Linked DNA regions of Oryzias latipes. Each later gene encodes a partner of the first gene's protein in a complex. Links are inferred from orthologs where the notes say so. Each region holds a gene or a part of one and is shown in the gene's direction. Other genes may lie near its edges.

Evidence for each region.
Region 2: cdc45 (region 1) and mcm7 share a complex: the UniProt entries of both Homo sapiens proteins name them as parts of the CMG helicase complex. The link is inferred for Oryzias latipes from reciprocal best matches to the Homo sapiens genes CDC45 and MCM7.

What each region holds. Positions count from the first base shown.
Region 1 is NC_019867.2:6,359,186-6,361,824, reverse strand, and holds part of cdc45 (cell division control protein 45 homolog), read left to right. Parts: coding exon 1-3; intron 4-79; coding exon 80-138; intron 139-208; coding exon 209-257; intron 258-338; coding exon 339-400; intron 401-478; coding exon 479-529; intron 530-613; coding exon 614-733; intron 734-1,710; coding exon 1,711-1,842; intron 1,843-1,916; coding exon 1,917-2,015; intron 2,016-2,099; coding exon 2,100-2,261; intron 2,262-2,349; coding exon 2,350-2,488; intron 2,489-2,568; coding exon 2,569-2,639. UniProt on the Homo sapiens protein: Required for initiation of chromosomal DNA replication. Core component of CDC45-MCM-GINS (CMG) helicase, the molecular machine that unwinds template DNA during replication, and around which the replisome is built.
Region 2 is NC_019868.2:6,627,447-6,631,201, forward strand, and holds the start of mcm7 (DNA replication licensing factor MCM7), read left to right. Parts: upstream 1-1,401; coding exon 1,402-1,432; intron 1,433-2,784; exon of another isoform or gene 2,785-2,827; intron 2,828-3,314; coding exon 3,315-3,394; intron 3,395-3,591; coding exon 3,592-3,755. Other genes in the region: cohesin subunit SA-1, read left to right, coding at 334-384. UniProt on the Homo sapiens protein: Acts as a component of the MCM2-7 complex (MCM complex) which is the replicative helicase essential for 'once per cell cycle' DNA replication initiation and elongation in eukaryotic cells.

The sequences.
Region 1 (2,639 bases):
GAAGTGAGCTGAAAGAGTAGGCCTAACGGTACGGTAGAACTGACGATAACACAGGCATGTCTTTGTGGCTTCATTGAAGGGGGCCGTGGAGAGGAGAATAGAAAGACAGCGAGTGAGAAGAGAATGGGAGGCTCGAAGGTGATTTACTGCTGTTGGAGTTTCCATTAGTGTGTGCATTTGTTTAATTCTAGCTGTTTCCATTTGGCAGAAAGGAAATCTTGTTTGACTATGAGCAGTATGAATACCACGGGACATCTGTGAGTATTTATTTTTACAATTTTTAAAAGTTTCTGCCCAGTGAACCTACACTTTTGTTTTTTCTGTGCTGCACTCATCAGGCTGCTATGATGGTTTTTGAACTCGCCTGGGTTTTGACTAAAGACACCAAAGACATGCTCTGGTGAGCTTTCTCGTGGAGTTTCAGTCAGTGAAATAGTATGTTTCAGTGTCTGCTACATACGTTGATTTTTCGTTTCAGGTGGGCCATTGTCGGCCTGACAGATCAGTGGGTTCATGATAAAATTACACAGTAAGAACATTATCAGCTCATGTTTCATAACAAAGTGTCTTTATCAGGGTGCTCACGCGGTGACTCCATGTGACTTTCCTTTAGCATGAAGTATGTGACGGATGTCGCTACAATGCAGCGACATGTTTCCCGGCACAGTCACCGTAACGAAGACGAGGAGAACTCACTGTCCATCGACTGTATGAGGATCTCTTTTGAATACGAGTAAGCCCAACTCCTTTAATTATTTCATTTCTAGTCACTTTTACATAATTTAAATCGGTGTCTCCAACCTTTTTCGGGCCCTGGAATCAATTTCATGTCAGACAATATTTTCATGAGCCGGTGTTGTGCTAAAGTGGGCATCAAATTTATTATTAATTTCTTTTTTTTTAGCCTCAAGTTTCCCAATAAATTTGAGGGTAAAGTCTATCCTTATTAAAATGTCTGCGGCTGCTTTAGACTTTATTTGTACTCTAGAGTTTGGGTAGGAAAATGTGTTTTAGGTTTTCCCTTAACTCATACTTGTCAGAGTGAAAGCTTAAAAAAAAAAGGATGCAGATTTTAGCCTCGACTGGCTTTCAAGGTACGATAGATTTAAAAAAAAAAAAAGTTCTTTTCTAAATATTCACCATTAGAGCAACTTTATGAGCAGCATCCTTATCAGTAGCCAGTTGCTGAATATTTAACATTATTTTTTATAGTTGTGTGGGATCAACTGTTGCAATAAATCTGTATTTTTAAGTAAAGACTCTTGATTTTTCTCTATGAAATGGAGCTGTATTTTATTTTGAAGTCGAAGGCTCTTCTTCTGTTTCCTCTCTGGATCTTGTTAACTTTGCTAGCTTGGGGATTTCAAATTGGTAATCAGCACAGCTGCTTTAAATAAAAGTAGCTGATGGAGTTTCGACACGTAACCGAGCGACTTGACATCATTGACTGTCAGGGTTTGACATGCCTAAAGAATGAGCCGGATGTGTTGGAGAATCCTGCAGTTTTCCAAAATAAAACTACCTTCAAAATGAGGTTATGAATAAAACGGGAAAAATGTAGGATGTTTTGTTTTTTCTCTGTGGCCCGATACCAAAAACCGGTATCGGTCTATGGTTCAGGGGTTGGAGGCCACTGCTTCATATGAAATGTTTTCAGTTTCAGCAGTGACCAAATCTTTCTTCTTCTTCTTCTTCAACCTTGTGCCTCAGCTTGCGCCTGACGCTTTACCAGCACTGGTCTCTGTATGAGAGCATCTGTAACTCCTGCTACACCTGCTGCCACTTCAAGCTTTGGACCCTAAATGGCCAAAAGAAACTCCAGGAGTATTTGGCTGATATGGGGTATGCTACTGTGATTAACTGATTTTTAGCTAGCAGTCCATGAACGATAATAATGTGTGTTTCTGTTTTACCAGGCTACCCTTGAAACAGGTGAAACAGAAATTTAACTCCATGGACATGTCCATTAAGGAAAACCTAAGAGAGGTTATTGAGGAGTCCTCTAACAAATACGGGTGGGGGTTTGGCTTTAAAATACTTGTCTTGCTGGCTTTAAAAAAAGAAAGAAAAGATGGAATGCTTTATTTTCTTGGTTTCAGTATCAAGGACATCCGCATCCAGACATTTGGGGCTCAGTTTGGCTTCAAGAACCGTTTCCTGGCGAGTGACATGGTGCACGCTGCTGCTGCCTTGCTAGAAAGCACTGAAAAAGATGAAAGCGACACAGATAACTTCATTAAGGCCCTTGATTCACTTTCAAGGTCAAAACTTTACTTTTTTTTTCTCATAAAAAATCTTTTTGCATCAGATTACAGAAACACCTTATCTGTGTTTTCTGGTTTTGTACAGAAGTAACCTGAACCGCCTCCTGTCTGGCATCGATCTGGCCAAGAAGAAGCTCATTGCCATCCAGCAGACTGTAGCCAGCTGTATTTGTACCAACCTCATCCTGTCACAGGGACCTTTCCTGTACTGTTACCTCATGGAGGTACAGGCCTCCGCCTGCAGTTCCCGACAGCAGTCAGTCTTTCTTCTGTTTTTCAGTCCTCTTATTTTTCATTTCTTCAGGGAACTCCTGACGTGAAGCTGTTTTCAAAGCCCATGGCCTTGAGTCTGCTCTGCAAATACCTGCTGAAGGC
Region 2 (3,755 bases), on another chromosome or scaffold:
GGATCCTAAAGCCGACTGGGAGCTAGTGCAAAGATTTCCAAGCTGGAGTAATGTGCCGCTACTTTCAGGTTCTGGTTAAAAGGCACAATAAATATGTCCTCTATAGTCAGAAAAGAACATGTGAAAAAGACCAGAAACCCCATTTTCATTGGAGCGAGTCTGTAAAGAAGAAGTAGAGATCCTGTTGTGAGCTAGCTTTAGTTTTTGTTCAAAGTTGAGACGGTTGGAATGATCTGTAAATCAGTTTGTACGGTTAGTGTTCCGCAAACTGTTTTGGTTGTGAACTATTTGATTGTGAAGTTAAAAGCGTCCTCTGGTTGTGTTTTCTTTCAGCCTTCTACAAGGCACACCTCCGTCAGCGTCCTGGATGAGCTCTTTGACTGAAATCTTTCGGGGATCCTCCAGCCAGATCTTCTGGAGCTTCAGGAGTAAAAAGTACTTAAAAAAAAGGTTTCTTTTTCTGTTTGAGAGCTGTTGCCCTTTGTAACTTTGTTTATAAATATTTTTGTTTGTTGTAAAAGATGAAATATTTTTGAAAAGTTGAAATGTTTATATTTTATTGGAAGTAATGTTCGAAACCTGTCAGCTTTTTTATAAACTGAAAGTGCAAGGACTTCTTAGTATGTTGTATTGTTGGCAACATGTGTTTTGTTAAACAGTTTTGTTTATTTTTTTAAGACTCTTATTCAAAAGTGTTGTGTTTGGTGTTTCATCATTTTTGATTTTGTATTTCAAAATGAAATTAAATGTTGTAAAACACAGGTATCGGCCCTGATTGATATGTGTGATGGGAAAACATGTGTTAGGTTTTGAATGATTTAAACATATAAAGCAGTCAACTATATGCTTTAACAACCATGACAGATCATAAAAATAATAGAGCCATTAACCAGAGCTGAAAAAGATACCAGTGATTGCATAAAAATCTCTTACCTCTAGTTTTGTTTACACATTCAATGAGAAAAATTACCTATAAACATGTTTGCTTTTGCATTTTTTTCTATCAAACAAAATGTAGTTTAGGGTTGGATTTTGCCCTGTACCTCCTTTGTCTTGTAGGTTCAGTCTGTTCATGCAAAATCTTATCGTCACATTTCGCGCCATTCCTGACAAACTGGGCGGAAGTTTATCCAGTCACGTGAGACGTTGTCTCCAGCAACTTTCCCGCCACTATCAAATCCCGCCCCTCCTCTGTGAAAGCCGCGAAACTATTGGCTGATGCGATTGTCAGACTCGCGCCACTTTTTGCTCTCCGACCGACAGGAGCTGGGTGCTTGTGAATGAGTTCAGCACTCCAAGAATAGAAAATAAAATATCTATTTAAGCTTTACGTTTGACTTCATCTGGGCTTTGTAGCGTTGCGTTACGAATCATCTGTCGCGGAGCTGAACGCCTGCAGCCATGGCGCGAAAGGATTATGCGGCAGAGAAAGGTAAGGACTTGTGTGTCTGTGGAGAACAGCATGGCAGCAACAGGTTGGCCGGATTTCCTTTTTTGACAAATATCTTTAAACGAAAAGCAAATCGTGTGAAGCTGCATGTCGCTGAACATTTCATATGAAGATTTACGTGTTGATGATGTCATTCATTAGTGAACTTTATCTCATACACTACTTTATCTCACCTGTAATGCCAGTTTTATACTTTTAATTTCTATTTGTCGTGGTTACATTACAGCACGGTGTGTTAGAGTAACCCGTTAAGACATAACTACTCCTAAGATGGTTACTAATAAGTTGGTGAGTCGTACTTCGTTGGAGTTGGTGACTCCGCGGTGACCCGGATGGAGCCTTAAACAAAGGAGCAGGCGCCACACTCAACTTCAACGCACATGCCCTGCGATGGTGGCCCGCAGAAAGTTGACATTTCACAATGTATATAAACAGTCTGCCGCCTTTAACAACAACTTTATCTTTACGTACAAATATGAACGTATATTTTTAACCAGCATAAATAAAGTGCTTTTCATGATTGGGTAACTTCTACAATTTCCCTTTATGGTGAAAAGGCTTTTAAACACCACAAAATCACAGGTTTTGTAGTTCGTGTACACAGAGTCCAAATGTGTGGCCAAAGTAGAGACTCCAGCCTTTTTCCTGAGTGTTAGCATGCTAGCTGCGTAGCTGTTGTGGCGTCCGTGAACGGGCCATTTTGTATTTAGCGCTTCGTGCGGTGACTCAGCCGGCGCTGCTGCTGCTGCTGTAGAGCCGCGCAGTCCGTTCCCTTCCGTGAAAACAGACACGCTAACACTTCAGACTCAGGGTTTTGAACATCTATACAACGTAACTACTGACAGACCCTTTAAAAAACTTGTGTGGCAACAAGCAGAGTCAGGAAAAAACACACACAAGAACACAAAAAACGATGCAACTAAATTGTGCTCAAACACCTCTCAGTGTATGTAAACGGTACTTATTATGCGCCAAACTAGTTTTCATGCTGTTACATGGATAGTTTATGGTCCCCGGGTAAAAATAATTTATGTTACCGTTTTTGGATCAATATATTTCGGGTTTGCGCATGTTTAGAACACCCCTTGGGACTAGTTTTTGCCGTCTCCCCCCTTACCGCTGGGCTATTTATCCTATTAAAGATGCGTTTGGTCGGGGCGGCGTGTACGAATCACTACCCTGCTAGCAGCAGCTAATGATAAAAGATGGCTGGCCGCGGTTAGAAAACAACAGCATGGACTGCTTTTAAGAGCGGAGGAGCCGCGGAGGGATATGAAGTGACGCGGCACAAAAGCCATGTGCTGCTTTGTTTACAATAACATCCTCGACCAGATACGCAATAAAGCCACACTGGCGCTTTCCCGTTGCTACCTACAAGTAAGTTAAATGGTTTTTATCGCCACACAAAGGCTGTTTGTTTGTTAATTCCGTTAGTTCCGCGGTTCTGCTTCCGAAGTTGGGGTTGAAGTGTTTTCAAAAAAGAGGGGCGCCGAAGTGAATGCGCGCTTGTTGTTGTTTTATTTACAACGCGCTCTGAGGAAAATCCGCTCCAGGAAGCCCGTTTGTTGTGTACCCGAAAATCGCGCTAATGTGCGCACCTGTGCGAAAACTAGCTTCCATCAGGGCTCCGGCGGCTAATTGTGTGTTACAGTAGGCAATAGTGACTCATCGAGATTACAGGATGCCATGTTACTCAACAAAGAGGGTCGTCGCAGGACAACAAATTAGCTCCCAGTTTGCAGGCCTGCAGCTTCAAATTGATAATCATTCTGTTATAGGAATATAATGCATAAAACTGTTTTTGCCAACAGCATTCAAACCGCCTTTGTTTGTATTATTAAGACCGGGGATTTGTGTTTTGCAGAAAAGTGCAAAAGGTTCCTGCAGGAGTTTTACACAGAGGACGGCAATGGGAAGAAGGTGTTCAAGTACGGAGCACAACTTGTGAGTACAGCCAATGCACAGCACATGCATTTATGGCAGATGGAGGCGTTTCAGAGAGCGCCTGTTTTCTCTTCTCATTGTCATTATTATTCCAGTTTATCCACCATAATCTGCTTTTTAAATCAACCAACTGAGTCCTTCCCATCAGCTTGTCAACATGCTTGTTTTTCTAATAGCTTTGGTGTGTTTGTGGATAGGTGGCTTTGGCCCACAGGGAGCAGGTGGGCCTCTTTGTGGAGCTGGACGACGTGGCTGAAGAAGACCCTGAGCTGGTGGAGAGCATCAGTGAAAACGCCAAACGCTACACGGGCCTGTTTGCCGACGCCGTCCACGAGCTGCTGCCAGAGTACAAAGAGAGAGA